Struthio camelus: one gene and its partner. The protein of the gene in region 1 purifies or fractionates together with the protein of each later gene. This does not show direct contact. Links are inferred from orthologs where the notes say so. Each region holds a gene or a part of one and is shown on either strand. Other genes may lie near its edges. The genes, in order: PA2G4 and NCL.

Region 1 (15,280 bases):
GCTACGTTGCACTGCTCCGAGCCATGCTGTGCTACGTTGCACTACTCCATGCTGTGCTGCTCCGAGCCGTGCTGTGCTGCTCCGAGCCGTGCTGTGCTATGTTGCACTGCTCCGTGCCGTGCTGCTCTGAGCCGTGCCGTGTTACGTTGCACTGCTCCAAGCCATGTTGCTCTGAGCTGTGCCGTGTTACGTTGCACTGCTCCGTGCCGTGCTGCTCTGAGCCATGCTGTGCTATGTTGCACTGCTCTGTGCCATGCTGCTCCGAGCCGTGCCATGCTACATTGCACTGCTCCGTGCCGTGCTGCTCTGAGCCGTGCCGTGTTACGTTGCACTGCTCCAAGCCATGTTGCTCTGAGCTGTGCCGTGCTATGTTGCACTGCTCCGTGCCGTGCTGCTCTGAGCCATGCTGTGCTACGTTGCACTGCTCCATGCCGTGCTGCTCCGAGCCGTGCCATGCTACATTGCACTGCTCCGTGCCGTGCTGCTCTGAGCCGTGCCGTGCTACGTTGCACTGCTCCGAGCCGTGCCGCTCTGAGCCGTGCCGTGCCGCTGGGCTCAGGGGGGCCCTTCCCGCCCACGCGGGCCCCGGGGCACCAGCCCAGCCCTGCCCGCGCCGCACCCCAGCGCCGTCACCGCGGCCGGATCCGGCGGCCGCCCCCGCGGCAGGGGGGGCCGTGGGAAGCGCGTGGGGCGCGGCGGCGGGCGCGCTGCTGGGACCTGCCCACGCCCCGGCTCAGCCCGCGCCCTCCGTGCCCAGGAAAACCCCCACGGTCATCGCCGTGATGGTGGTCGGCGGGCTCTTCCTCTCCTGCTCCTGCTTCCTCCTCACCCTGCTCTACTGGCGGGGCAAGAAGATCCAGAAGAAGCGGGCGATGCGGCGCTACCTGGAGAGGGGCGAGGTGAGGGGGCCGCGGCCGTCTGTCCCTCTGCACCCCCCGGCCATCTCCATCTCCATCTCCATCTCCATCTCCATCTCCATCTCCATCTCCATCAGTCTCCATCCCTGTCCTCTCTCCCCCTCTCCCTCCCCATCCATCTCCATCCCTAGCTCCATCCTTGTCCGTCCCCATCCCCATCCTCATCTCTCTCCCTCCCTGTCACTGTCCATCTCTGTCTCCTGCCGGGCAGAGCCTGGAGCCGCTGGACCCCAGTGAAAAAGCCAACAAGGTGCTGGCCCGCATCTTCAAGGAGACGGAGCTGAAGCGGCTGAAGGTGCTGGGCTCTGGCGTCTTCGGGACCGTGCACAAGGTGAGCCGGGGGCTCGGGGCCGCGGGGGCTCCCCCAGGGATGGGGACGGGCCCTGGCGCTCACCGGGTTCGCCCCCGTCCCGCCAGGGCATCTGGATCCCCGACGGCGACTCCCTCAAGATCCCCGTGAGCATCAAGGTGATCCAGGACTGGAGCGGGCAGCAGTCCTTCCACGCCGTCACCGACGTAAGTGCGGCTGCCCGGGGCGCCGGGGCCGGCCGGCCGCCCTCCCCGGGGCCGGCGGCTGCTGACGGTGCCCCCGCAGCACATGCTGGCCATCGGCAGCCTGGACCATGCCTACATCGTGCGGCTGCTGGGCATCTGCCCCGGCGCCCAGCTGCAGCTGGTGACGCAGCTGCTGCCGCTGGGCTCCCTGCTCGACTACGTCCGCAAGAACCGCGACGGCATCAGCCCCCAGCTGCTGCTCAACTGGTGCGTGCAGGTGGCCAAGGTGAGTCCCCGGGGGGGGGGGAGGTTGGCAGGTGGGGGGCACCCGAGCCCCCGCCGGCCCGCTGACCCCCCGCCCCAGGGCATGTACTACCTGGAGGAGCACCGCATGGTGCACCGCAACCTGGCCGCCCGCAACGTGCTGCTCAAGTCGCCCAGCCAGGCCCAGGTGGCCGATTTCGGCATCGCCGACCTGCTCTACCCCGACGACAAGAAGTATTTCTATAACGAGGTCAAGGTGGGCGCCCGCCGGCAGGCCCCGGGGTGCCATGTCCCCCCCCCACCCTGGGTCCCCGACACCCCCTGTGTCCCGGGGTGCCATGTCCCCTACCTGCTGGGTGTCCCCGACGCCCCCCCGTGCCGCGGGGCGTCCCCTGCCCGCTCCAGGTCCCCGACGCCCCCCCCGCGCCGCGGGGCGTCCCCTGCCCGCTCCGGGTCCCCGACGCCCCCCCCGCGCCGCGGGGCGTCCCCTGCCTGCTCCGGGTCCCCGACACCCCCTGGCCCAGCACCCCCAGCCCAGGTCCTGTCCCTGCCCCCGGCCCCCTGCGCCCCTCGACGCGGCTCCTGCTTTGCAGACGCCCATCAAGTGGATGGCCCTGGAGAGCATCCACTTCGGCAAGTACACGCACCAGAGCGACGTCTGGAGCTACGGTGAGCACGGCCGCGGGCGCCCCGGCCCCACGGCGCTCGCGCGGGGGCTCACGGGCGCCTGTCCCCGCAGGGGTGACGCTCTGGGAGATGATGACCTTCGGGGCAGAGCCCTACGCCGGGATCCGGCTCGCCGAGGTGCCCGACCTGCTGGAGAAGGGCGAGCGGCTCTCGCAGCCCCAGATCTGCACCATCGACGTCTACATGGTCATGGTGAAGTGTGAGTGCGGGGACAGGGCTCCGTCCTGGGGACACGGCTCCGTCCTGGGGACACGGCACCCTCCCTGGGGACACGGCTCCATCCTGGGGACACAGCTCCATCCCAGGGGACATGGCTCCATCCCGGGAGCATGGCTCCGTCCCCGGGAGCCTGGCTCCATCCTGAGGACGTGGCTCCATCCCGGGGGGGACACGGCTCCATCCCAGGGACATAGCCCCATCCCGGGAGCCTGGACCCATCCCAGGGGCACGGCATGGCTTGGTCCCCAGGGCACGGCACGACTCCATCCCAGGGGCACAGCACGGCTCCGTCCCGGGGTCCCGGCTGGGTCCCTGGGGTCCTGGCTCGGTGTCCAGGGTCCCAGCTTGGTGCTGAGTCCCAGCTCAGCCCCCGAGGGCGCATCCCGGCTCGCTCGGTCCGCGGGGTGCCGGCGCCGGGGCTGAGCGGCCGCGCTGCCCGCAGGCTGGATGATCGACGAGAACATCCGTCCCACCTTCAAGGAGCTGGCGAACGAGTTCACCCGCATGGCCCGCGACCCGCCGCGCTACCTGGTGATCAAGGTGAGCGCGGGCCCCCCCAAACCCCCCCCCCGGCCCCGGGGCCGCAGCCCCTAACGCGGCCTCCCGCGGCAGGAGAGCGGGGCCGCGCCGCCCGCCGAGCCCCCCACCCTCAGCGACAAGGAGCTGGACGAGGTGGAGACGCTGGAGCTGGAGGAGGAGGAGCTGGACGCCTCCTTCGGCCTCGCCGCCGGGCTCTACCCCTCGCGGCCGCGGGGCAGCTCTGCCCGGGTGAGACCCCGCGCTGCTCCCTGCCGGGGGTCTGGCCACCCCGGGACTGGATCCCGGGCAGGGGGTGCTGGGTATGGGGCAGGGTGCAGGGCATGGGGCAGGGGGTCCCAGGCACGGTGTGGGGCAGGGTTTGGGGCACAGGGTCCCAGGCATGGTGTGGGGCAGGGGGTCCCGGGCATGGCACAGGGTTTGGGGCAGGGGGTCCCAGGCACGGTGTGGGGCAGGGTTTGGGGCAGGGTTTGGGGCAGGGGGGTCCTGGGCACAGCACAGGGCATGGCATGGGGCAGGGGGTCCTGGGCACGGTGTGGGGCAGGGGGTCCTGGGCACGGTGTGGGGCAGGGGGTCCCGGGCACAGTGTGGGGCAGGGTTTGGGGCAGGGGGGTCCTGGGCACAGCACAGGGCATGGCATGGGGCAGGGGGTCCTGGGCACGGTGTGGGGCAGGGGGTCCTGGGCACAGCACAGGGCATGGCATGGGGCAGGGGGTCCTGGGCACGGTGTGGGGCAGGGTATGGGGCAGGGGGTCCCGGGCACAGCACGGGGCAGGGTTTGGGGGTCCCAGGCCCCAGGCACGTCCGTCCCCCCCCGGCCGGCCTCGTCACCCACCGCCTCTCCCCGCAGAGCCCCAGCCTGCTGAGCCCCCCGGCCGGCTACATCCCCATGAACCAGCCCGGCCTCGGCGGTGGCCGCCAGGTACCGCGGGGCGGCGGGGGGCGCGGGGGGCGGCGGGGGGGGCGGGTCGGCCGAGCCCCCCGTCAGCCCCGTGTCCCCCAGGGCGGCGGGGGCCGGCCGCCGCGGCGCAGCCGGCAGGAGTCGCTGGGGCGGACGGTGTCGGAGTCGTCGGAGGGCCGGGGCACGGCGTCGGAGCTGGACCTGGCCGAGGGGCTGTCGCTCTCGGGGAGCCTCTGCCGCAGCCTGCGCTCGCGGGGCGACAGCGCCTACCTGTCGCAGCGCGAGAGCTTCCCCCCGCCACCCCCCAGCACCGAGGGCAGCGAGGAGGACGCCAACGGCTACGTGGCCCCCAACTGCGCCGCCCGGGGTGAGGGGGCCGGCGCCGAGGGCTGGGGGTCCTGCGCATGCAGGGTCCATCGTTGCGGGGCGGGGGTCCGTCACTGCAGGACAGGGGTCCTGTGCATGCAGGGTGGGGGTCCATCATTGCAGGGTGGGGGTCCTGTGCATGCAGGGTGGGGGTCCGTCATTGCGGGACAGGGGTCCTGTGTATGCAGGTTGGGAGGTCCATCATTGCAGGATGGAGGTCCTGTGCATTCAGGGTCCATCGTTGCGGGGCGGGGGTCCCATGCATGCGGGGTGGGGGTCCGTCATTGCAGGATAGGGGTCCTGTGCATGCAGGGCGGGGGTCCATCATTGCAGGGTGGGGGTCCCATGCATGCGGGGTGGGGGTCCGTCATTGCAGGATAGGGGTCCTGTGCATGCAGGGCGGGGGTCCATCATTGCAGGGTGGGGGTCCCATGCATGCAGGGTGGGGGTCCGTCACTGGAGGATAGGGGTCCTGTGCATGCAGGGCGGGGGGGTCCATCAATGCAGGGTGGGGGTCCTGCACATGCAGGGTCCATCGTTGCAGGGTGGGGAGTCCGTCATTGCAGGATGGGGGGTCCTGTGGATGCAGGGTGGGGGGTCCCATGCATGCAGGGTGGGGAGGGTCTGTCATTACATGGTGGGGGTCCTGTGCATGCAGAATCCATCATTGCGGGGGGATCATTGCTGGGGGGAAATCCATCGTTGCAGGGTGGGGGGTCCGTCATTGGTGGATGGGGTCCTGTGCATGCAGGGTGGGGGGTCCCGTGCATGCAAGGGTGGGGGTCTGCCATTGCAGGGTGGGGAGTCCTGTGCATGCAGGGTTGGGGGGAGGGGTCCATCAGTGCAGGGTGGGGAGTCCTGTGCATACAGGGTGGGGGGTCCATCATTGAACGGCAGGGGGACATTGCTGGGGGGGCTCCGTCATTGCAGGGTGGGGGTCCCGTGCATGCAGGATGGGGGTCTGTCATGGCAGGGTGGGGGTCCATCAGTGCAGGGGGGGTGTCTGTGCATGCAGGGTGGGGGGAGTCTATCAGTGCAGGGTCGGAGGGGGTCTGTGCATGCAGGGTGTGGGGGGGGTCCGTTCTTGCAGGACTGGTGCTGGGGGGCTCCCATCCCCATGGGGCTGGGGGGGGGTCGGGTCCGTCCCAGCAGAGCAGGGGGACAACCCGGGGCGGGGGGGGGCCATTTTGGGGCAGGCTCCAGGGCGGGACGACCCAGCCGGCGTCTCACTCGACGCCCCGCAGAGCCGGAGCCCGCCGGGGGCTCGGCGCCGGAGGAGGAGGAGGAGGAGTACGAGTACATGAACCGGCGCCCCGGGGCCCCCCCCGGCGCCCGGCCGGCTTCCCTGGAGGAGCTGGGCTACGAGTACATGGAGGTGGGCTCGGAGCCGGGCGCCCCGGCGGCCCCCGCGCCCGGCCGCCGGGAGGAAGAGGAGGAGGAGGAAGAGGAGGAGGAGGAAGACTACGAGTACATGAACAAGCAGCCGCGGCTGAGCCGCTCGCTGGGCAGCGTGGCCGGCCCCCGGCACGACGGCTACACCGACATGCGGCCCGGCGAGGCGGCCGAGGAGCAGGGCTACGAGGAGATGGAGGCGGTGCTGGCGCCCCGGCTGGCCCGCTGCCCCGGCCCCCCCGGCCCCCCGACCCCCTTCATGAAGCCCCTGCGGAGCCTGGAGGCCTCGGACTGCGCTTTCGACAACCCCGACTACTGGCACAGCCGCCTCTTCGCCAAGGCGGACGCCCAGCGGACGTAGGGGGTCGTCCCCCCCCCCCAAAAAAAAACCCACCCCGCTCGCCCCCCACCCCAGCCCGTGCGCGCCCGGCACGGGGCACGAGCCCGATGGCCAAGGGGGGGCCCGAAGCGCGGTGGACGGACCCCCCCCCCCCCGTTCCCCGGGGCGGCCCCGCTCCATGCCTCAGTTTCCCCAGGCGGCTCCCGGCGGAGCCCGGCCGCGGGAAAGCCCCGTTTTCCTGGGGTTTGGCGGCAAAGCCGATGCTGTTGCGGGAAGCGCGAAGCCGGGGCGGGGTGGGGGCTGCCTTTTGGGCAGAATCGGCAGGATTTCTGGGCCAGAAGGAAGCCAAAGTCGTTTTCAGGTGTCCCCGTTCCCTGCCGGAGCCGGGATGAAGGTTTGGGGGGGATGTCGGCACCCCCCCACGCAGCGGTGGCAGGCTGGCCGCGCAGGTTTGGGATGCTCCTCGTTAATGAGGGGCCGCCGGCGCGGGTAACGACCCTCCGGAGGCCGCGGGTAGGTGGGGCGGCAGCCCCGCAATCGGGGCCAAAAACATAAAACCCCTGCGATTGTCTCCCCTTCTTTAGCGAAGGCTTTGGAGGGGGACGGGGACGGAGGACGGCGGAGGGGCGCCGTGGGGCCCGCCTGCCCCCCGCCCCGGCTCGGTGCCGCCGCCGCGTGCCCCTGCCCGTCCGTGGGGCCGAGGGTCCCGTCTGTCTGTTAAAAGCTAAATAAAGACAAAGGGAAGTCGAGGAACGGCCGGCGCCTGTGTGGGGCAGGGGCCGTGGGGCAGGGACCAGGGCTGTGGGGCGGGGGGTGGGGATGGGGGCAGGGGGAGGCAATGGGGCTGGGGCTGTGGGGCAGGGGGCTGCGATGGGGCTGGGGGCAGTGACAGGGGCTGGGGCTGTGGGGCAGGGGGAGGTAATGGGGCTGGGGCCATGGGGCAGGGGGACGCAATGGGGCTGGGGGTAGTGACAGGGGCTGGTGCTGTGGGGCAGGGGGCTGCAATGGGGCTGGGGGCAGTGACAGGGGCTGGGGCTGTGGGGCAGGGGGAGGTAGTGGGGCTGGGGCCATGGGGCAGGGGGACACAATGGGGCTGGGGGCAGTGACAGGGGCTGGGGCTGTGGGGCAGGGGGAGATAGTGGGGCTGGGGCCATGGGGCAGGGGGACACAATGGGGCTGGGGGCAGTGACAGGGGCTGGGGCTGTGGGGCAGGGGGAGGTAATGGGGCTGGGGCCATGGGGCAGGGGGACGCAATGGGGCTGGGGCAGTGATAGGGGCTGGTGCTGTGGGGCAGGGGGCTGCCGTGGGGCTGGGGCTGGCAGCAGTGCCTGGGGCCGGCGGTGTGGGGCAGAGGGCCCAGTGCCATGGGGCTGGGGGCAGCGGCCGTGCCGGGGGGGGGGGGGGGGGCTTCCGCTACTCCCCCCCACAACCCCCCCCACACCGCAGGGGGGCGCCCTGCCCTCCCACCCGCCACCCCCCAGACTACACTTCCCAGAATGCCCTCCGCGCCACTTCCGGCCGCGCCGCCCCGCCTCCTCCCCACTCGCTCTCGCGAGAGAGCCGCGGGGCCCGCCGGGAGCTGTAGTCGGCGCGGGCGCGGGCGCGGGGCCCGCCGGGAGCTGTAGTCGCGGGCGGCGGCGGCGGCGGCGCGGGAGGGGGGCGGGGACTCGGCTTCCCAGCGTGCCCCGCGCGGAGCCCGCGCTCCTGCCCTGCTCGCGCTCTCTCGCTCGCGCTCCCCGGGGTCTCCTCAGCGCGGCGGCGGCGGCGGCGGCGGCGGCCGGGAGGGAGGAGGAGGAGGAGGAGGAGGGGGGCGGCGGCGGCGGCGGCCGGGCCTAGGCGGCTCCGACCATGTCGGGCGAGGAGGAGGCGGCCGAGCTCACCATCGCCGAGGACCTGGTGGTGACCAAGTACAAGATGGGGGGGGACATCGCCAACCGTGAGTGCGGGCCGCGGCCGGTGAGGCGGGCGGGCGGGGGGGGCGGGCCTGCCCGGTGGCGGCGGGAGGCGGGGGAGGATGCACCGGGGCCCGGGGTGGGCGGCGAGGCCTAACACCCCCCCCCCAACACACACCCACCCACAGCGGCGGGGGGGGGGCGGCCCAGGAAGGCCCCCCCCCCCCACTCCGGTGCCCACGCGGCGGCCGCTCCCGCACGTGGCCTCCCCGCCCCACGTGCGGCGGCGGCGACCGGGCCGGGCCCGGCGCCCCTCGGCCTCGCCCGCCCTCCCGCCGCCAGCCGGGCGCGTGGCCCGGCCATGTGGGGCCGGCGCCGCCGCTGCCCGCATCCTGCCCCCCCCCACACCCCCCACGTCGGGGCTGCCCCCTTTTTTAAAAAAAAAAATCCTTTCTTTTGTGCCAACGTCCCCGGGAAGCCGCACCGCCGCTTTCACCCCCCCATCTTTTTTATTATTATTATTATTTTTACCCAAAAGCCGGCGGCTTCAACGCCTTTCTTCCGCCGGCTCCTGGGCCTGCAGCCGCCTCAAGCCGGGCGCGGGGGCTCGGCGTGGGCTCGTCAGACGTGTTATGCGTGTTGCAAACTTCGGTCGCCTCGCGTTATTCCAACACCCCCCCCTCCCCTTTTTTAGTTTTTGTTTTAAGCGTTTGTTTTTGCTGTATCATTAAGGGTGGTTAGTTAACCCCCTCGAGAAAAGTGACAGCTGTTTTAAAGAGCTAACTGGACCGGTTTTATGAGGTCCCCGCCGCTCCAGGAGCAGCTTCAGTAGTGGTATACGCCGCACTAATTGTTGCTGACTCCAATGCTTCTTTTTAAGTCATCGCTCTTCATAGTAACTTGGGATGCAGCTCCAGAGAAAGACGTGGTTTTTGAAAGCTGCAGTAATGTTTTAGTTGGTACAAGGGTTGCTAGCTGGTGTTTTCCTGGCCCTATACCTTTTTGCTCTGGGGCGGGGGGGAAAGGTTCCCCCCCTTGGGGAAGGAAGGTCGGTTCTTTGGTTTTTCACTGGCTGTTTGGCAAACCGGATGTAACAGCAAGGTGCAGAGAGGTTATGCCACAGGTTTAGCTACACGGAGGGGACACCCCCGTTCCCGGAGAGGAAAAGTGGATTGATCGCAGCATTTCTCTCTTGGTAGTGTTGTGACTGTGTTTGGGAACATCAAATCCAGAACTGTGACAAAAAGGCTTTCCAGTTCAAAATGTCTTGGGTACTTGTCAGTGTGACGTGCCTTTAATGACATAAAGTGCTTTTAATTCCTAAATGAAGCCCTGTGGAAGGACAGAATACAATTAAGAGATGTTCCTTGGTCAGTGCTGTTACACTCTCTGCTTTTTGGTTTCATTCTAATGCTCTGATGAACACGGCTCTCCATTTATCTTTCTGCTGTGTTTGTTTTGACGTTTTCTATTTTCAACTCTGTGTCCTGCTATCCACTAAATGTCTTTTTTATCACAGTTTTATCTGTACTGTAAAATATTCCGAATTCATAACCATCTATGACGCATGGAAAGATGACTGCTTGAAGTCATTTGAAATTGAATTCAATCATGCAGGTGAAAGATTTTTGGTTTTTACTCTATGTCAAAGAAACTATGAAAAACCATCTGCTTGTAAATGTCTTAAGCACTTCAGAAGTATTTATTGCTGTAGTACCTAGAGCACACACTATCGGTAACAGAAACTCCCAGCAAATAGAGACACTTCCAAAACAGCCTCTTGTAAAAACAGTGCGCTCACAGAGCGAGGAGAAACTGCATGTGTACCTTTTATCCCTGGATCCCAAAACATTTTAGAGGATAAGCTTTAAGACTTGTATCCAGTTTGATAGAGGAAGAAGAGAGGGGAATAGCAGCTAGTCAGCCGGTGACAGAGGCAGTGCCTTGGCTCCTGGCCTGCTGACTGGTAGAAAGGCAGTCAAGACGTATGTGGCTTGCTCCAGCAGCTCCTGGGCCTTCGTGGCTGCTACTCCTAGAATACCATCGCAATGTGTTTATGAATGTGAGCCTGCAGGATTTCAACGCGAGCCGTGGCTTTTACATTCCTTTACCCATTTATACTATAAGGCACGCTGTCTGCTATGGTGTAATCAAAATGCTGATGAGACTCCTAGGCACAAAGCTAGAATACGTCCAAAAGTAGATGCAAGCAACATTCAGGAAACAGGCAGCAAAGCTTTCTTTAACCTCCAGTGCGGAGCAAGGCACGTAAAGCTCCTGATGGCAGAAAGCATGCTGTAAGCTGCTTGTGTTGCCTGGCCTTCGTGACTGAGAGGAGGAGCGTGGGTTACCTTTAAAACGTGCTCCTGCAAAGAGGCTAATGTAACTGGCTTTGCTGTGCTAGTTCTGTGCTGGTGCCAGCTCTTGAGCCAAGCAAAGTCTTTCTGTTGATCTGTACGTTATAGTCCTACACGTCCACAACAGTGCCCCCTGCTCTTTTGATGTGCTGTGTATTTTGTCTCCCAAGTAATTTTCAAACCTGTTTCTGAAGCTCTGACTTCTCTGGAAAGAATGTGGGAGAGTGATGTTTCTGCTTGGCCTCTTTGTTTAAGAGACCTGCGAGCGTATAGATGGGTGTCTGAAACTGCTGCACTTCACCTGTGCAAATCCCAATGTATGTTTGCTTGCTCATGTTTTCTGTGAAAGTGTTCCCGGAAAGTCAGTTCTTAAAACGAAAAATTACAATGGGATTTCTCTTATGTCCTTGGTGAAAAGCTGAGCTAACAGTCTTGTCCCTTTTTAGAAAACAGATGGATATATTTCTTTTTTCACCGTGGGGCTGTGTGATGAGGGTTGCTGTTAGTTTTAAGGCTGTTTATGGTGAACGTACTTCAACAGCTTTTTGTTTGAATTAAGGGGTCCTGCGTGCAGTGGTTGAAGCAGCAAACTCTGGAGCATCAGTTCTCTGCTTGTGTGAAAAGGGAGATGCCATGATCATGGAAGAGACTGGCAAAATTTTCAAGAAGGAAAAAGAAATGAAAAAAGGTGAGGCCTGTTCCAAAGAAACTTTTTCAATATGAGGATATTTTTTGTCCTGTTGTGTTGTTTGGTGGCTGGCATGAATGAGTAGCAGCATGGAAAGCACAGTTCTGCTCTAATTAGCGTAAGAAATACTTCACCATTCCTAGAAAACCAGTTTTGATCCAAATCGTCCTGCTTGCCCTGTTCATAAGCATCACTGATAAGCTTGAGCTTCCCATTTTGATTTACCCAATCATTCACATTGAAATGAGACTTACTTTGGACAACGTCCTCTCTTCAGGAAGACCTGCTATATGGTTATAGTTGGTCTGTAGTTGCCATGGAAATTGTGTGACACTTGAGTGTGTCACTGAAAGCGCCGTGATTTGTGTTCTGGAGAATTGAGGTCCCTTTTGCAAGTGTCTTACTGCCTTGGATGTATTTGTTTTGATGGTTGTCTGGACAAAAAGAAGGCCAGTGTAGGAGCTTGCCGCAAGCTAGATTCCTTATGGCTTTTTGGCTAGAGCCTTAGGTAATGGATGGAGTGTTTTACGATGCTTAAACGACTAAAACCTAAGTGACAAACCACAGTGGCAGGGCTGCTGTCTGTGCCTGTGCAGCGTGTGAGATTGCTAGACTTATGGAATATTTCTTTTTCCCTTTATAGGTATTGCCTTCCCAACGAGTATATCGGTAAATAACTGTGTCTGTCACTTCTCCCCCTTGAAGAGTGACCAAGATTACATCCTCAAAGACGGAGACTTGGTCAAAATGTAAGCATCTTAGTTATATTTCTCATGAATTTACTGTCAGCATCTGGGCTTCGCTCGTTAATACTACTTGGTGTGTTAAATCCTTCCTTGGCTTGGCTAATTAGTAAAGCGTTTGAAACATGCCTGAGACTCTGCTAATACTTTTAGAAGTCGCACAAGTTTCCTGCGTTGTGAGGCCTCACCTGTAATTAACTCTTTGTGTTGCAGTGACTTGGGAGTCCACGTTGATGGTTTTATAGCGAACGTAGCACACAGTTTTGTCATAGATGCATCAAAGGTAGGTTTTTGAAGGAATGGTGTATGTCTTACAGCTGCTGCGTTCAGTGCAATCTGAGGGCGATATTAGAAAGCTGATGTTCCCAAAAAGCTAGTTCCCAAAGGCTGCAGTGTAGAGCGTCACAGAAGTTTCTGTTTAGTTTTGCAAAGGCTCCTGAGCTCTGGTGTCACAACAGTGTCGGGAAGAAAACGGTCTGGTTTTTTGAAAATTATTCAGTCATCTGGAAAACGCGAGATGACGCACTGTTTCAACATGTACAATTTTGCAAGGTTACAAATGGTTTGAGACAAACCAAGTGCAAGTTGAGCTGCAGTGAGTTATTTGCATTTAGTACCTGTTGTGCAAATGGAGGTGAGGCTTGGGCTCTGGGACGGACTGGGCAGACTGGTTTTGCTGCCCCCTCTGCTGGCCGAGGCACGCGGAGCCAAGCACGCTGCGCTGCTGCAGGGACTCACTGCCCTCAGCTTTGCAGCCCCGAGTTCAGGGATGACTTGTTCCTTGGCCCCAAAATCTAGTCTCTGCTGCCTGCTTTTTCTGTCTGAATATGCCAGGTACAGACTTGCAAGTGGCTTTATTCATCCAGGGCAGCATGCAGCCCCTGGCAGGCATCTGTGAGGACCCCACCATGGCATGGGTGGTTAGTGCTCCAGCCATTCAGTCAAGTCATTTTTTGGAAGTGACATTAAGCTGCGTTTATGAGACTGGCTGCAGGAATTACTGTTATAAGATGTGTGTAAAGTTGTCACGTAAGTTTAGAATAAAGTTTCAGTCTTGGGAGGATGATGGCAGCTGTGGTCTTGGGAACGTCTTTTCTCCTGTGGCTGCATAAGAATAACTTGATGGGGAGAAGATGAGAACAAAAATTGAAGTCTGTTGAAATCTCTCCAGTCCGTATTTCTGGCTACACAAGAGTCTAGTTCTATTTTCAGTCTTTGACAGTGATGGGCTTGTACAGGGATTTTTCTGTTGAAACTCATAAGGCAGAACTTATTTGGTTGTAGCTGGTACTCATCTGCTCTTTTAGCAGAGCCCAATGACAGAGCTGTGAAGCCCAAAGTCCTTCCACCTTTGATCTAGATTTCCCACTCAGTGGGAGAGTAATCAGGTAGATGGATTATCTCCATCTCTAGATGGAGTCAGAACAGTGTTCTTACTAATAGCTGGGAAAGGCATGCATCTTAAAGAGCCTTTATTTTCCTGTTCTTTCAGGAAAACCCTGTGTCAGGTCGTAAAGCTGATGTCATCAAGGCAGCTCATCTCTGTGCTGAAGCTGCTCTGCGCTTGGTAAAGCCTGGAAACCAGGTGAGTGGCTGATATTTGCGAATGTGTAGTTAGGTACAAGTCGCGAAGCTCCAATACAGACACTGAATTTGCCACGTGGTCACTTCATGTGTAGAAATAAAAGCCTATGACCTTGCCTGGGAAGAACTGTTAGCTATGTGGGGAATCTGGAAGCAGCTGCCTGCAGGCAGCTGAGCCACTTCTGGGGTGAGCGCCGGACCACTGGGGCAGGTGGCGGTGATTCTTCCTGTCAGCAGTTCTGGCTTGCCAGCAATATCTAAGCTCTTGCTTATGTAAAGTTGGCTTCACAGAGAGGCCTTGGTGCTTCCACTTGCTGGTTCCTTCCTCTCTGAAAACAGCTGGGCACGCACAGAAAATTTTAAATGTTGGGAGTCACAGCGTCTTTATGATATGATTCCAATCCCATTCAGGAAGGAGCAGGTGAGCCTTGCTAGCAAAGTTGTGGCTGACTTCTCAGCTTTAGATTCAGTTGGCAAAAGACCCAGAAGGCAGCGGGGCCTGCAGTACTTGCTGTTACACCTATTTGTGAAACGAATGGCACATTTTCCTGCATCCCTAGAACTCATTCACTGTCGGCATCCTGCCACGCATCCAGACTGGGGACCTGCTGGACAAGGTCGATAAGAACAAGACATAATGGGGCCAGTTGTCTGTTTGGCTCTGATGGACCAGTCTGTAGAGGTGTTTCACTTGTAGGGGCCTCCTGTCATCAAGAGAAAAGGAAAGCTCAACTGAAAGCACCGCGTTTGCGAGTTAACAATGGCAACAACCCTGGGTAAAATCTGGTCTTCCCTCTTGCAAAGCCTGGATGTCCACTACATACTTCAGTATCTGTCCGTTGCAAAGCACTTCTTGGCAGTCGCTTCAGACTTTCCTCTGGATCCTCCTAACTGTACTCCCTTAAATCTCCCACTTGCGTTTCTCCCTTGTCTGGTGCTCAGACTCCTAAACAGTCGTAGGTGTTCTCCTTTGTCACTGTGTTACTATTCCAAACATACTTGTGTTGCTCTTAGTTTCTAGTGTAATCTTCTAAAGAAAGATGGCCTCTGATAAGGCACTGGGTGCAATGCAGGAGAGCTGAGTTAACCTCATGATACGTGTCATTTGCGTTGATATAGGGTTAAAAATGAAAGGCTGACACTGTTTCTCCTTTTTTGGAGGTGTTAGAGCACCGCTCAGTTAGAAAGCCTGCTGGTTTTATCACAGAACAGCGTCAAGTTGAAAAGCTATCATGCTTCTGGCTTGAATTTTATATCCTTAATGTGTTTTCATGTGTTCTTCATCTAGAACACGCAAGTGACAGACGCTTGGAACAAAATAGCCCACTCGTTTCACTGCACGCCAATTGAAGGTAAGAACTTGAGAGTAGCTGATTCAGAGGTAGCAAATGTTCTAATTACACACTAAATCCTAACCTCCCCTGTTCAAATTATGGAGAGCATTTAATGGCTCTGAGTCCTAGACGCTCCACCTTTAAATGCAGCAGCCTTTCCTAAAACTTCCCTTCAAAGCTCTCTAGACTCTTCTGTTGTTTTTTGATTTTCAAAAATGCATTAATGCAATAACAATAGATTTGGACTTTGTTGGCTAGGAGGTAGTATCCTGACTTGTGGACTTCCTGTTGACCTGGGACAAATTGCTTGGTTCTTTGCTTCATGCTTGGCCACTTGTAGTTAAAACCCCTTTAGAAAAAATATAAAAGAGCTTGCTAGTAATGCAGGGGCCTTTGCTAAAAGATGCTTTAGACGCGCAGGGTATTTAATTGCCTTCCTTACCAGAAACTGATTCACGTTTTCTTGATAGTGTTGATAGCAGGAGGGTAGGAAGGCACTGGGATAGCTTCTGATAGAAACGAGACCCCTGGATTCTTGTTTGAAAGGTGGCGTGAGAGCTTTGT
Region 2 (15,797 bases), on another chromosome or scaffold:
GAAATAACTGAAAGAATCCCAAATGAAGTATAACATACCCTTTGGAGGATCCAGTGTCTCTATCCGTGACTATTCTAGCACTTACAGAGCCTTCAAATGACTCTCTTAGCGTCTCCTCTGTTGTGTCCTCAGAAAGGCCTCTGACAAACAATGTTTTGCTTTGTTCTGTGGAAAGAGAATCCATTTAGAGAACAGCAAGGCTGATCAAAGCACCTATTGATCACTTAGCAACATCAGTGTGCATAACTGATTCCTACAGCAGTTCACAGTGTTGTTAAGGGGTTTGTTTTGTTTTTTAAAGGCAGCCCAGAACAGCCGAGCATCCAAAGTCGTCTTCAAACTTTTGGGGGACTATAGTTAGAACTGTATGCCAAGAGTTATCTCCACAGACCAACTTGGTACTGTCTAAAAATTTTAAAATAGACGCTTGCATCTTACACACACAGATACTAAGAGGACCAAAAAAAAAGCAGCGCTCTGCTGGATCAGCACTTGACTATCTAGAGGACTTTGTAAATCGTTTCATCAGCATTTCAGATAATCAATCATCATATCCAGCACTAACGTTCATGAAGCAAGACTTTCACTTCAGAGGCATGCCCTCTCTCCCCTCCTTTTCTAAGTAGACCTAAAGTTTGCATAGATTATGCCCAAGTCACAGCCGTCTCGAGACCAAATGACCAAATGGGGGAAACACACTTACGATTAAAACCTCCTCTTGCATTCATGTTCCCTTTCTGCCAGGCTGGTGAACTGAATTCCAGTCTGATTGCTCTGCCTTCAATTTCTGTATTGTTACAGGAATTCAAAGCCTCTTTGGCATCCTCAGGTGTGGGAAATTCTACAAACGCATACCTATTTGGAGAAGATTTCAGTTAGACTGCGAGCACAGGAAGTCACCGGAAGTCATGCACAATGCCATCTGAAAGAATTGGTACAGATGCAGAACATACCCTTTAGGCCTGCCCTGGTTGTTCTGTGGCATCCTGATGGCTGTAGCTTTTTTGAACAGTTCTTGAAGAGTCTCTTCTGAGGCAGAGTATGAGAGGTTGTTTACAATTAGGGTCTTTGCCTCCCTCTCTCCTCCTCCTACAAAGGAAAACTCAGCATGAGAAGTGCAAGTCTGGAAAAGGACAGTTCTCTCGCTAGAGAAGACCCACCCTAGGGTGAAAATAATTGTTGCCCCTCCCCACCTTCCTTGTGGGCATAGGAGACTAAACGCAGTACTGATTTAGTCACCTGGAGTAGTTGTCTTCCTCTGATTGAAACACATGCAGCACAGACACAAAATGCATGAGATTCAGAGCACAAATCTGCTAAAAGGTGCCTCACTGCTACCTTACAGTTTTCCTACAACGCTTCCAGTTGTTCTATCCCTATCAAACGTCTAAAACTGAGTGGAATTAAATCCTAAGTGTCACCTGCACGCACATCACGGATATGGAAGAGTACCTTTCTGACTTTCTTGTTGGCTCTTCTCACCAGTGTAGTCAATGACCATGGCACGACCGTCAATCTCTGTGCCCTGCTTCTCTTCCAAAGCTTTGTCTGCCTCAGCTTCTGTTTTAAATTCGACATAGGCCATCCTAGAGCACAAGGAAAAAACATAGGCAAATAACGTCATTTTCGGAAGGACTACAGTTATGAACAGGGTGATGCGAAAAAGCGCTTTGAACTGGCTTTTTCAGTACACCTAATCCAGCACGTTTCCCGAGATAGCTAAAGGACACATGAGCTTATCAAAATACATCAAGTGTTTGAGAAATGGCAAGCAGTCAGTCCTCTCAGCTACATACCCTTTGCTGGCCCCCTCCTTGCTAAATACTAGTCGGACTTCTATTGCATTTTCAAACACATTTTTCATCTCATCTTCAGTTAAACGGTAGGGTAGATTCTTCACAAAAAGTGTTCTAGCATCTCTCTCTACAAAGAGAAATAAGCAGTTACTTTCACGTCACCATTGAGCTAAAAATCCTTTCTCACGTATTGCCAGCTTACTAAGAAAACCAGAGTGAATTCATCCAGTACAAAAAACACAGGATAAGTTTGCATTTCAGACGCAGACAAGGCAATTATGACAAGCAATTAAGCTGCCGTTACACTTCTCTCTCAAGAGCATCAAGTCAGAATGTAAAGCCAAGGACAGAGCCACATTTCTTCCTCGCACCCCTAGTATGCCTATTTCTTACAATGTCATTACGTTGCCAGACATTGCAGTCAGAGCTTGCCTATCTCTAAGTTACAATACAGAGAAACTGCTGAGAAACTGCTTATGGTAAGAGCCCAAACCAGTGGGACTCTGGTTTAAAAGGTTAACATCATGGCCATCAGTAATATCGTGGGCCTACTCTAAGCTAAGTGTTATCACCTACTGATTATTACAGCTTCTTTCTTTAATGCCCCCAGGTATTCAGAGCAATGTGCTGTACCTTTTTTGTTTTCTTTCAGGCTTTCCTTGCTCTTTGCTTTTTCCAGTTTGATTTCCAAACCCATCAGCTTCTTTCCGTTCAGTTGAAGAGCTTTATCCAGATCTTCGGCAGATGAAAAGTCTACATAGCCAAATCGCCTGAAAGAAGAATAACTTTATTATCTAGCCTGATCTGCTCTAGCATCAGAAAACTATATATATAAGGAAACCCAGAACCAGAAGGGAGTGGTCAAATTAAAGCGTTAATAAAATAAACGCCAACTGCCCCAGAAAACCAAAGCAATAGTACAGCACACGACTGCTCTGTACTTCGGTAGCAGCTTTCCTTTTCTGGGATATACTGTCTGAAGCAGCTGCTGGCAAGCATTATACCCTATCAGTACTGTACATGTCCTGCACTTCTTCCAGCTTCCGTATAGCATCAAGCAAGCATCCCAGTATTTTGAAGAACTTACTTGGAAGAACCAATTCTAACTTCTGTAACTTGGAGATTCTTCTTGCCAAAAAACTCCTTGATAGCAGTCCTCAGTTCTTCATACTCCTTGGTTGGTGTCAAATTTCTCACGAAGAGAGAGAAAGCTGAAGCAGGCCCTTCCCAAAAAAAAAAAAAAATTGAGTTTTTCTTTAGGGCAGATAGATGAACTGGAAACAGACTGGACAGTTCTAGCACATCAGTTTCTGCTTAAAATGACATCACGTTTCAGTATTAAGTCCCTTAGAATCATCATTTGTGCTGGCAAGAACACACTGAACATGCAATCCTTTCAGTTATTGTGTCTCATCTCACCCAATAGCCCAATATTAAATGAAGATTCCCAAGTCTCTCCTAAACATTTCCAAATGCCATGAGCATCATTCGATGACCCCACACCAAGGTACCTTCTGTCTTCTTTTTCTTGGCTTCTGGTGCGCTTTTATTGGCCATTTCTTTCTTCCTCTTTCCAGGTGCTTCCTTGACAGGTTCTGTGATGGAGAACAAATAAAAGAACACTGAATTAGAAGTGCCAAAAAAACAAAACACAGCTTCTGCTATGCTGGATTAGCATATGAGTATCTTCAAGCAGCTCATACACAAAACCTTCTTGTGCCATCACCGCAACTACTCATTACTTTCCACTCCAAAAGACCATGACCAGACAAAAATTTTGTTGAGATCCTTCCTGCTATTATGCATGGCTATGTTCACCAAACCATTTAAACTCACTTTCATCCTCACTTTCCTCCTCATCCTCATCTTCATCCTCCTCCTCTTCATCCTCCTCCTCTTCATCATCATCTTCATCCTCCTCATCTTCAGACTCTACCTTAGCTTTAGCTGGTGTAGCCTTTACTGGAGTAGGTTTCTTTACTTGAACAGGGGTTGTGTCCATAGCCTCATCTTCAGACTCTGAAATGAGTTCAGTACAAAACTTGGTTCAAGATTAGCCACTTTGTAAATCGAACCAAAAACGTCACATGAAGTAAGAGAGTTCTGAACGTCTGCTTGAATCTACACGATCTCAAGAAAGCATTTATACCTTTATAGTGCTTACAACAAACTGCCCCTCCTCCAAGTCTTACTGCACTAAGAATAACATTTTAGGAAATAGTTTTAGGAAAATGGAATACCCATTCAAACATATCTGACGGGCACTAGTAAACATGGACAGACACGTACTCATCGCTGCCATTAACCACCCATTAAGTTACCGGCCTAGAGCTCCCTGAAAGCCTGTTTTCACCTCTTCTAAAAAATGCATTTTCTAAGAGTTAGAGCAAGCTTCTCTCAATCCTTGTGGACCACATACCATCCTCCTCCTCCTCCTCATCATCATCTTCATCCTCCTCTTCCTCAGACTCTTGTTTTGCTGGCACAGCTGCAGGTTTTTTGGCTGGTACAGCTGCAGGCTTTTTGGCTGCAGGTTTCACAGGCACTGCTACCTCCTCTTCCTCATCTGCAATGAAGTACAGCAAGCATTCACCTAGAGCACTCAACCTTCAAACTCAGTCAAGTACTTTGTTTCCCTGCGTTTTGGCAAACTTCAGAGAAGAACAATCAGAAAACTAGAACATGCTTCACACCCTGCACAAGGCAGGCACAGTCCAAGAAATTCTCCTGCAAACCTCACCAACTCTTCATCTTTCCTTGCTTACTTCCTTTCACTTACCAAACACTCTTGAGTACCAAAACATGCTGAACTGTCAGCTTTTAAGGTACTCAAATCCACTTACTGGGATGAGCTAACTTCAGTCAGCTTACAAGATGGACACATATTCCAAAAGTAGCTTACCAGAGTCATCTTCATCCTCCTCCTCCTCATCATCTTCCTCCTCCTCATCATCATCTTCCTCCTCCTCCTCACTCTCTTCCTTCTTGGCATTCTTTCCATTTTTCGCTCCTTTGCCTAGGACAGCAGCCTTTTTAGGTGATGGAACAACAGCCTTTTTAGCTGGAGTAGCCACAGCCTTCTTGGCTGGTATAACTGCCTTTTTTGCAGGGGTAGCCTTCTTAGCAGGGGTAGCAGCCTTCTTAGCTGGTGTAACTGCTGCTTTCTGTTGTTTCTTCTGAGGGACCATCTGAAAGAGACATGAAGCGAGCGCAGGACTCTTATGCAGCTCCTTTAAAGGAATTTCAAACTTGACAACATGACACTGCAGTGACATTATGCCTTGACAGTTGATATGAACTATGCAACCACACTCATGGGAAGATGGCACTTTAGGAGATACAGCCAACAAATGGCTACCTCTGCACACCCAATAAATCGAGTATCTGCTCTCTCTGGACTCCTGTACTTTTTCCTGCCCATCTCTGCATCTATACCTTGACATTACTACTTCAACATGGCAGCCTTACAAATGCACGACAACTGCAATCTAGCAAGTATCCCTTTAACAGACTTATTTAGTTGCTGTTAAATTACTATTAGCCTGGTAAAGCTCAAAAGCAGCTTTGTCGTGCGTTTGACAACTTCTGGAACAGCCAAGCATCTCTCGAATACCCTGCTACTAAGGCAGCACCTGCGATTTCTCTAGCAGCACCCTACAGCTTCAAATTTTCGCTCTTGTATGTTATTTGTGGATGGTGAAGTGACTTGTTAGAACAACGAGCATATTTCGCTAGTTGTGACGTGAAAGGGGAAACAGGAGTAGAGCTGCTGAGGTCCTTCCAGATCTGATTATTTATCACTCACTTGCTCATCAGTACTAGAAACAGCTGTAAGACCCACACATTCCTTTCAAAATCTGGAAGGACATAGACTGAACAGTTAAACTATTTTTCCCTTATCGCTTTCCTCTTATAAAATCCTGTTCGTTCTTCAGCTACAGTCAATAGATATGTATGTAGTATATGACTACCGATTAACAACGGTTCTGTTCCTCATACGTCCCCCAACCTTGCAACACTTGGGACCCATGCACCCATTCGGTTGTGTTCTAGATTCATCATCACCTCTTCTCCGCTGCTCTCCTCCAGTTCAGAAGACTCCTCTTCCTCGCTTTCCTCGACCTTCTTGGGGGGAGGGGCCATTTTTTTCTGTTTGATCTGATTCTTGGGAGTCTGAAAGAGAGGGGGAGGTATTAAGAGGAGCTTCCTCCCTCAGCCGAGGGTTAGAAGCAGATGCATCGTCCAAGCTATTCCCTCCACCTGCCGGCGCCCGCACGGGCGGGCAGCTCTCCCGACCACGTGGCTCCCCGCCGCGCGGGGCCGGGGTGCTCCCGCCGCGCGGCGGACGCCGGCGCCCCGCGCTCCCACGTGCTCGCTCGCCCCAGCGCACCACGTGGCCGCGCGGCGGCGTAAACCGCCCCCCCCCGCCTCGCCCTGCGCGCGCATACGCAGCGGCGCGCGCCAAGCCACGCTCTCCCCCCTCCCCGCCCCCCCTCCCCGATCCGGGCGGCGCGCGGGCCCCGGAGCCCCCCTCCTCCCCTCGGCGGCGCGCGCCCGGGCCCTCGCGCGCGGCAACATGGAGGGAGAAGGCGGGGGGGGGGCTTGAAACCGCTCCTTTCCAACGCGCCCCTCCTCCCGCCGCCATGTTAACAGGGAAGGAGGGGCGGCCTGGAAACCGCCGCGGCCCGCACGGCGGGAGCAGGCGGCGGGAGGACGGCCTAGCTCGCCTCTTCCCCCTCCCCGCGCCGTCCGCGCCCGCCGCTACTGCCGCCCCGCGGCGCGGCCTAGCGCGGCCCCGCCGGGCGGCCTCACCTTGGCGATCTTCACCATGATGGCGGCGGGGCCTGGCGGCGCAAGGGCGGCGACCGAGCTGCCTCCGGGGAAAGGGCCGTGTCCGGCGGGGGTGGCGGGAGGGGGAGCGAAGAGGGCCCCGGATGGAAGGCGGGAGCGGCCGCAAGACACTGGCGACCGAACCGGGGACTGAAACGAAAGAGCGAGCGCAGGCCCCTTCCGTTCCCTTGCCTAGCCCTCCGCCTCGCCCCGCCTCCTCCACCCCCGCCTCGGCCAATCGCCGCGCGCCTAGGCCCGCCCGACCAATCCCCGCCTCCTCCCCTCGAGCCCTTCCGCCAATCGCTGGGGCTGTTCGATCAGCCAACGGGAGAGCGCGTTACAGCTGACGACAAGAGAGCGTGTGCGTGCAGAGGGAGGGGGGAGCGAGGGGAGCACTCAGCCCGCCCGCGAGGAAGCGACGCAACCAATGAGAGGGCGGCAACTCGGCGCCTGCGCTCTCATTGGGCGGCGGGGCTTAGTGGCGGGTGGGCGTGGCCGGGCCGGGGGAGAGCACGTGGCGGCCAGACGGCCACGTGGTGGGGCTGCGCCGGGGGTGGGCGCCCGGGCCCGGGGCGGCCGGGGGGGGGGGTCCCGGGGCAGGGGGGTCCCGGGGCAGCTGCTGCTGTTCTTGGCAGCCCGGCACTGCTAAAGATCGGCTGCAGGGGTAAAACAGCCTGAAAACGGTTTTTGCTTTTTCTTTGGAAGGTAAAAGTTTGCAAACGGATAGGAGTTGTATTTGTTTTCCGGTTCCTCCCCCCCCCCCTTTTCCTTCCTCTCCACTTCTGCCCCACCGCCTCCATTCCCTTCTGTAGTCCCTTCCCCAATTACTTGGTTCTCAGCGCACACCCAGACTCTTACCTTCAGCTGCTACAGAAGTTGAAAGTCTCTTGAGTTTAAAAAGCCCAAGAGCTTGGAGGTTTGCACATACTGGGATTACACTTGACGCAGCAGATGACCCGCAGCTGCCTCTGTTACAGAAAGCCCGCCGGCTGACAGCGCTCCTGGTGACAGAAGTGCCACTGGCTCACTACGCGGAGGAAGGACCCCGTGCTGTAAAAAATGAATTATGGTTGCGTAATGAATGGTGAGAGAAGACAGATCAGCCCTCTTCGCGTGGAATTTTACCCCGGTGGTTATAAAGTTCACGGTATAAAGGCTCCCAGGGTAGCGTGCTGCGCCCCTGTTTACTCTTTGCCAGTGTGCTGGCAGTGCTGCTTCGCACCCTGCCTGACGCGGCCTTCCCTCAGCCGAGTAGCTCAGTGGCCTCTTGTTGCTCTGGCTTCCCAGCTGCCTCATATCCACTGCCCTGTCAAACTGGGTAAGATCCTGGGCTCGCCTGACCGTGACTGCCAGCGCTTTCGCCCTTCCCAGCACCTGCCTGGGAGAAGCCCCTAATGTGAGGAACAAAAGAGCCTGGGGAGCCCCAGGGAAAAGTGCCCAGACTCTCTAGGTGGATGCAGCCCTGAGGGGACACCCCTGGGGTGCTCAGTGCCACTTGCAGACAAGGGACGTGCTGTGAGGGAGGCCACTGTATTTGCCTCCTCTGCTGGATGAAGAGAGGCGTTTTCCAGGCGGGTAGAGCCAGGGCTGAGGACACCAGCTTATAAAGAGGTGACAGGACCTGTCTGCATGAGTAAGGCAGCCCTCAGAGAGGTTGGGATGGTGCTGGGACAGCGGGGGACGCTGCCTGCCTCCCAGCCCTGGTCACACCAACGGGGAGCTGGGCATCCTGCCCAGGGGAAACCCTTGCGCAGGGGCAGCTGGGCTCTACACGTGAAACACAGCAGCTTCTGGCTCACTCCAGCACGTGCTGCAGGAGCCACTAACACAAACCCAGGGCTGCCCGTCGGGACACTGGGCGACTTGGTACCATCCTAGGAGGCAGAGGCCTCTTGGGAATTTTTACTGTCTAAAGCAAGAGCCGATTGCTTGCTCTTTACCGTGTGCAGCCACGGCGTAACAAGATCCTTAGCGTTGCTCTTCCAGTGCTGCTGCTAGAGCCAGGGCTGGTTCCTCTCCGTGTCGCTGCAGAGGGGCTTGTTTCTCACGGGAAAAGGACAGCCGTTGCTGCAGCCGTGGATGGTTTTGGTAGCCAGGGCACTGTGTGTGTTCAATAACGTGCCAGTGATGGGCTCAGCAATCTGCAATCTTATGGCTTATCCTAAGCCGGTGCAGGAAACAAGACGGCGAATGCCACCTCTGAACTGATGCCACGCTGTTTCAAAAGTGGTGTTCACCTGGCAAAGAGCAGGCGATCGCTGGCTTGGAGATGGGTCAGGTTGGGGTGGGAGGAGTGCGTTCTGCACGGGACCAGTGGCGTTAACGCTCAGCGCTGGCAGGGTGACCAGGGGAACGCACCCATGGCAGCGGTGTTAGAAAAGGGCCCCTGGGGACACCCCTCCTCATGGCAGCAAGCACTGGTTCAGAGGGGGTTAGACTCAACACTGGCCCCACAGGACCTTCGTCATCTTCTGCGCTGTCACTTTTTGGTTTGGTCCTCAATCCGTCATAGACCCAGCGAGGCCCCACGTAGACCCAGCCAGGCCCCTGGTTACATCAGCAGGGAGCAGCAGCACGGTACCCCCAGACCCGTGCCCAGTCCAACCGCGTCTTGCCCACGGGGCAGGGCAGGATTGCTGCCCATCGCAGCACTGCCCGTCTCCCGAACCCACCTGCCCTGCAGCCGCCAGTGCTGAAAGCCGTGGCACGTCTGCGCAAGGTTTGCACAGGTTATCGCAGCAACCGCCCGCCCTGGCTGGCGTCCCACGTGGGCAAAGCTGGGCACGTCGCTTCCGGGCCCGCCGGAAAAGCGGTGAAAGGGGTGGACTGGCGGCCGGCCAGCACTCGGTTCTTGGCCCTGGCAGGGGAAGTCTTGGTATTGCTCGCGCTCCATCTCTTACTCCAAGCGCGTGCCCTGGTGCTGACAGGTCGTCCCCAGTGCAGGTGGCACGGAGGCTGCAGCAGGACCCCGCATTTGGGGGAAGGAGCACAGCACCTGTGCACCAAAGGGAAAAGAAGAGCAGAGGCCGCACGCAATGCGACATTAACCTGTGTGCTGTGGACAGGCAGGTCAGGGCTCAGCGTAAGGCCCGATCCTGCCTGCTGCTGCAGTGCCTGCAGGGGACAGCTTGGGGCGGGGGGGAAGGTGTCCAGGGCACCGACTGCAAGGCTGTGGTTTGTCCCCACATGCCACATGTAGCACACGGGTCGGATGCACTGGGCAAAAGGATGCTGGTTTGCCTGGGCAGCCAGTGCCTAGGCCAGGCTCTTGCTGAGGACGCACCGCAGTGCAAGGCTTCCCCGGCAACGCAGCATACACCTGCCCCTCTGCAGGCGCAGCTACAAGTTTCAAGGCCAAGGGATGTCTGCAGAGCAGCATGAGTGCAGGAAATTTGGCTAAAGCAGCAGGATTAACAGCCCAATTTGTGGAGCAAATGTATTTTAGGTGCTTTTAGGTACTTGTTGCTGTAGCATCTCTGCACCTTGGGGGCTTTGATCTAGTTCCACTGTTAAAGGCAACTTGTTTAACAGACACAAACTTGGGGGAGACCACAGGAGGGGTTTTCCCACCTGGTTTATGGTGCAGCAGGGACTTGTCCCCAGGAGCAGTGGGAGTACCTCACACAGCAGCAGAGGTTCAGAGCCGTGAGAGAGCGGGCACTGCGGGGCAGACATGGCACCCCAAGAGCCAGGTCCTGCAGCCCTGAGCTATCTGGCAGCCCCCAGCTGGGCCAGGGGAACAGAAACCAGCTGAAGACGGGGTCTGCTGATGGGCTGGGCTTGCAGCATGTGCAAATAGCTGGTGCCGGGAAAAGATGGGCGCTGGCACACATAGGGTTAATGCCCTGTGCAGGGCAAGGCGGGCACCCAGCCAGGACACCTCTGTAGGGACCCCGCTGGGGGAGCATCCCCGAATGTCCCGTTCAATCTGCGCCTGGCTGCAGCTGGGCATTTCCACTAGATGGTGACAAAAGGCCGTGTCTGCCGTCCCCGGTGGGAGCCCACGGGGCTGCCCTGCTCTCCTCGGGCTCCCCAAAGCCCTTCCCCAGGGCTGCAGCCGAGCGGGAAATCGTACCCCCTCAGCTGCGTCTCTCCCGGTGGATCTCGGGGCACAGAGGAAGGCCTGATACGAGCCCTGCGTTCGACACACACCACGTAAAGGCAGCAGCCAAGCGCAGGCGGGAGAGGAAAAGTTTTACCTGTGGGAGCATCTGCTGCCTAACAGCCACCAGGGACCCCGGGCAAAGACCCCTGCCCGCACCGCCTTCCACCCACGCTGCCGGAAACGTGGGTCGGGAGCAAGGTTGCCTTATCCTGAAGGAATCCTAAAAAAAAAAGTAAATTTATGCATCTGAGGTCTAATCCCCACTTAAAACCTCTCCAGCACCCCATCCTCCCCCCTGCAAAGTCCCCTTCCCCAGCTACAGGGCCACCTGCTGCTGTCCCACAGCTCCACTTCTGATTCATGCAGGGTGTCAAATGAGTCAGGTCTCCCCTAATTACATCTTTTGTTCATCACCCCCCCAGCAGCACGCTGAAGCCGAAGCGGGGCTCGCGAAGAGGCTGGATGGGTCAGGCTGCTGCGCAGCGCTGCAGGGAGAGCCCGCGAGGGCGAAGCGCACAGGGCTTGCTGAATTTGAGGGATTGCACACCAGACTGTCTTCTGCTTGGAGCGGCCGTGACACGCCTCCCTCGGCTGGCACTTTGTGCAACGGTGCCTGTTAGATAGGGACACCAGCCCTCATTTCCAGCCCGCTCTGTGCTGTCAGAGAGCTCCCTCAGCCCAAAAACCCAGCACGAGAGCAGGCGGAGGGGAAACTGCTGAGCTCCTGCGTCTTAGCCCATGGCTTTGGGATCAGCAGGATGCCAGCTGGTTTGCTGGATCTCCTCCCCGATGGTTTCTCACCCCTTCCTCCTCCCATTCTGGCTTCTCCCCACTCTTTTTCTGGCCTTAGTCTAATGGCAGCTCATCCTGTTGCTGAACAGGAGAGAAGGAGGAAACAGCATCCCCTCCCGTCCCACCCTGAGGGATGGAGGGGCGCCCAGGGCTGGGCAGGGACACAGCCGGGCCCTGAGGCACCCACTGCCAGGATGGGAGGGGACCCACCTGGGACAGAGGGGGCCAGGATTGGGATTGGCGTGCGCCCCCCCCCCCCCCCCAGCGAGACACCTCCTCTCTCCCCACCCCGGCCGATTGCAGATCTGTGCCATTCCCTTGGCATCACCTTCGTGCCAAGGAAAAATCCCTGGTGACTCACTCAGGAAGTCTGTGTGCTGCACTTAGTCTCCCTGTGACCCCCCCCAGGGTCCCTTCACATGATCATCCCTGGCACCCTGCAGAGAAAAGAGTTTTCTCTTTCCACAAAAGGCCGATTCCCCCAGGACAGCCCTTTGCTAGCCCCGTTCCTCTCCCTGACGTCGCTTGCCTGCAGCTAACAGCACAGCCTTGCAGCCTGCCTGTAGCCCCCCGCAAATACCTGGGGCAGCCCGCAGCCTTGGGCCATGCGCGACCCTTTCTCGGCTTCGCAAAACAGGAGGCAGAATGCCAGCGCTGGAAAATATGATGCAAGGGAGAGAAGCGAGTCTGAAACAAGCAGGACTGCTACATGGGACATGAGCTAAATAAGAGAAACAGGGCTAAGAAGCTATGGGACAATTAGGAAGGAAGGAGGGAGGGGAGCTCGGGACCTTCTTCTTCTCTCCAACAGCATGGAGAAAATCCACAGGCTGGAAACGAAGGAGGAGTTTGGACATGCAAATGCTTCTATAATCCAAGGGGAGAAAAAGAAAAAAAAAACCAACCTGTGGAGGAGTTACAGGCAGCCATTCAGCGCTGCTCTGGGATCAGCACGTTTCTGGGCATCATATTAACCCTCCAGACAGGGGCAATAGGGTCGCATCCAGATGAGCCACGGGTCCCAGGTGGGTCTGTATCTCGAGATCTGCTCACATTGAGATTCGGGCAAGCTCCCTTGTTGCTTGCAACAGCTCCCTGCAAAAGATGAACTTCACAAAACGTGCAGCTTTCCAAAGCCCGAGCAGGGTTTGCCTGGAAAAGCCCACGCTTCTCAGAGAGCGTGTACCACGCCATCCCACACACACCATCCACCCCATGGGAGCACAGAGCCGCTCCAAAATACTAACATTAGCTGCAAAACCCCAAAGCTGCTCCCCAGGCTAGATACTGAAGATGTTGAGCTCATTTTGACTGGGAAGGGGGCCCATTCTGGAGTAAAACATCTGTGAACTGTTCCTCTCTCAGCAAATCTGCCCTTGGGCAAAGGCCTGCAGTGCAGTGACCTGTGGCTTTGCCTTCGATCACTCACGTTTTACCTGCTGGAAGCTCCCACTGCTCACAGACTTGTATTTGGCTATTTCCGTTTTCACACCAGCTCCCGGGCACGGGGCCAGCAGCAGGCAGATGCTCTGCTTGGAACGGGGTCAGAGCAACTCAGGCTCAAGTGACAGTAACATTTTTCCTTTTCAGACTGAAAATTGAATCTTTGTTGAGTCCCAAACCAGAAAGGCAGGAGTCTCCTTCCATTGCCCCCATTTTTGCATTTGCATCCAAGCAAGGCAGTTTTGGGTGAGCTCAGCCCTGGCTCGGGAGCCGCGTGCGCTCACCGCTCATCACGGACACGTGTCCACGTGGGCAGCTGCAGCCTGACACACACATGCCACAGGGTGAGCAGAGTGGCACAGCCGGCCAGGGCTTCCCCACAGCCTTACCTGCAACAGTCACATCAAAGCAGCAGCTGAGCAGCGAGAGCTCGGGGATAAGGGGGTCGCAGCCCCTCTGCTCCCGTGGGAGTAGCCGATGGTGCAAGGGCCGAGGGCAGGGGAGCTGGGTCCCTGCAGGCTCTGCGTGCAGCCCCCAGCTTGGGGGTGTCACACAGCTGCGGGCAGCTTACACGTGCTTTGCTAAAGACTTTAGCATTTGCATTGGAAGGCCCCAGGTGGAAGCAGCTGGGACCCTGTGGTGCTCTGAGCACCCACAGTTCGGGCAGTCTCTGCTTCAGAGAGCTCACACGTATGTGCATTTGACAGCTGCCCCGATGGGAAAGAAAGGTGACTGTACCCATTTTACAGAAATCAAACCGCAGATCTACTGGTCTGCAACCAGATCTCGCTGGTCCTGGCCCAGTGCCTTTCACTGGCCCGTCTTCTCGGGAAGGGTCAGTCTGCACTTGGCTGTGCTTTCAAAGCTCCAGTGACCCGGGCTGGCTTCAAGCGAGCTCACCCTGCACAGACCGTCTGACAGCCTGGGGAACACCCGAGCTCAGGAGTCACCCGTACAGCACCAGGCAGGCTCAGCCCACCCAGCTTTCCACCTGCCGTCTGCCCCGACCTCCCCTTTGCAGCAAGCTGCGTCACAGGGAGCCAAAAGGAGGTTAGAAATAAGGGCCGAAAGTACTTCCCTGGCCTTGGGCTGGCTCTTGGGTTTTTTGTGCCTCGTCCCAGCTATTTCAGGCAGTTTCATTTATCAGCTCTCATCGTGGAAATTCCCACTGGCAGGGTGTGAGTTAAAAGCACTGCCTTCAAACTTTCTTCTACTGCAGCTAAAAAAACCCAGCAACAACAAGGCAACACTGGCAGCAGCAAAATTGTTGTCAGACCTGAAACCTGGTCCCAAACGCCCCAGCAATATCCCATTAAGCCGGGTAAGCGCATTACCATGTCTCCTGCATGCTCAGGGAGAGGGAGGATCATGCTTTCCTTGGGAAAAGCCCTTTCCTTCCCATCCCTCGCAAACTATCAGCTCATCTCCCGGAGCACCAAGTGATATGGGAAGTTTAAAGCAGACTGACAATTACACTGTATCTCTCCTGCTCGTTTTTAATTGTAGAGCAAACAAAGCACCACATTAATTCATCCCACTGGGTAATTAAATGCTTAATGCTATTGACTTTAAAGACATTATGGTTCAGCAGCACAACACTGATGCATTAATAATCACTTATAACATGGCAAGAAAGGGGCACGAAGCACTCCAAAGGAGCGGTGCAGTTACGTGGGATGAGAGCTCACAGCGAGAAGCATTTGGAGCAGAATTGGCGCCTTGGTGACCCCACAGGAGTCGAAGCTCCTGCTGGGTAGCAGGAGGCCAGGACATGCCCTGGCTGCAAGGAGCACAGAGAGGGCAGTTCACCGGTGGCCCAAGGAAACCCTCCTGGCTGTGACAGACAGGCTGCGGTGTCGGGGAACAGGAGAGCTGGGCTCCGGGCACCCACGCGACCTGGGATGCTGTTAGCAAAGGCCAGCAAGCAGGCCAAACCAGTCGGAGGGGAGCAAGCCTTTTTTAACTAAGCACCAGCACAGCATGACCAGGGCCTGCCTATCTGCTGCTGGGCTCCATATTTCCAATAATTTGCTGGCTGCTTTAGCATTTTTATTATGCAGACAGTGATGAGCAGAGCAGAGCCTCAATGTCTCAGATTAATGGCATTAAAACGTGGCTGGCTGAATGTCACTCCAAACAAAGAAGGTTATTTACTCACTAGAAAATGACGTGTTGGATTGCCAAGCGCTGAACCCCAGTGTGCCAGCAGGTACCTTACTTTCCCCCGAGGTGTCTTGTCCAGCAAAGCGTCAACATTGCTGTGGCAACCACAGTGTCCTCCATGAAGGACTGCAAAGCCCAGCATGTGGCAGGACCATCTCACATCCTTGCCCTGGCAGGCAGGATAAGGCCCAATCTATAGATGGGAAGTCCTCAGGGTAACACAGAAGCTGAAGGAGGAGCCCAGCAGTCCAGGTCCCTGGCACAGGCACAAGGGCTCACAGCCTCTTTCCACCCTGAACCCAGAGCTGGCTGGGAGCCTTTGGTCCAAACAGGGTGTCCTCAGAGAGCATTACCTCCTCAAAATGAGGAATTGCCAGGTTTGACCCAATATCTTCTAGGAGACGGTGCTCAGATTCAGGAAGAAGCATTTGGCCTGAACGTGAAGCCCAAAACAGCCCCAGGACAGAGCCCCCACGGGGACCGGCAAACACGGGCTGTGCCAGCTGGCATTGGTCACAGCAACCTTCCCAAGCCCTGGTCTTGTCCCAGAGTGGAGCAATAACATTTTGGGAACCCCAAATATTTTCCTTGGGGGACCCTCCTGCAACCAGCACTGAGGGGCTGTGGACCCCCATCTCCCTGCACAGCTCAAGAAAGTCTTGAAACAG

Evidence for each region.
Region 2: the proteins of PA2G4 (region 1) and NCL purify together in Homo sapiens (affinity purification with mass spectrometry; 3 studies listed by BioGRID and IntAct, with this or other methods). This does not show direct contact. The link is inferred for Struthio camelus from reciprocal best matches to the Homo sapiens genes PA2G4 and NCL.

The regions. Positions count from the first base shown.
Region 1 is NC_090969.1:599,772-615,051, reverse strand, and holds the start of PA2G4 (proliferation-associated protein 2G4), read left to right. Parts: upstream 1-7,781; 5' UTR 7,782-7,966; coding exon 7,967-8,054; intron 8,055-10,926; coding exon 10,927-11,055; intron 11,056-11,698; coding exon 11,699-11,804; intron 11,805-12,011; coding exon 12,012-12,081; intron 12,082-13,290; coding exon 13,291-13,383; intron 13,384-14,670; coding exon 14,671-14,734; intron 14,735-15,280. Other genes in the region: ERBB3 (receptor tyrosine-protein kinase erbB-3), read left to right, coding at 758-899, 1,129-1,248, 1,335-1,433, 1,513-1,698, 1,777-1,932, 2,270-2,345, 2,416-2,562, 3,025-3,122 and 4 more. UniProt on the Homo sapiens protein: May play a role in a ERBB3-regulated signal transduction pathway. Seems be involved in growth regulation. Acts a corepressor of the androgen receptor (AR) and is regulated by the ERBB3 ligand neuregulin-1/heregulin (HRG).
Region 2 is NC_090950.1:21,719,760-21,735,556, forward strand, and holds the start of NCL (nucleolin), read right to left. Parts: upstream 7,621-15,797; 5' UTR 7,485-7,620; intron 6,894-7,484; exon of another isoform or gene 6,777-6,893; 5' UTR 6,627-6,776; coding exon 6,609-6,626; intron 5,970-6,608; coding exon 5,862-5,969; intron 4,985-5,861; coding exon 4,699-4,984; intron 4,363-4,698; coding exon 4,216-4,362; intron 3,816-4,215; coding exon 3,633-3,815; intron 3,392-3,632; coding exon 3,308-3,391; intron 3,164-3,307; exon of another isoform or gene 3,095-3,163; intron 3,020-3,094; coding exon 2,884-3,019; intron 2,567-2,883; coding exon 2,430-2,566; intron 1,924-2,429; coding exon 1,797-1,923; intron 1,587-1,796; coding exon 1,453-1,586; intron 1,090-1,452; coding exon 954-1,089; intron 856-953; coding exon 704-855; intron 558-703; exon of another isoform or gene 481-557; intron 166-480; coding exon 39-165; intron 1-38. UniProt on the Homo sapiens protein: Nucleolin is the major nucleolar protein of growing eukaryotic cells. It is found associated with intranucleolar chromatin and pre-ribosomal particles. It induces chromatin decondensation by binding to histone H1.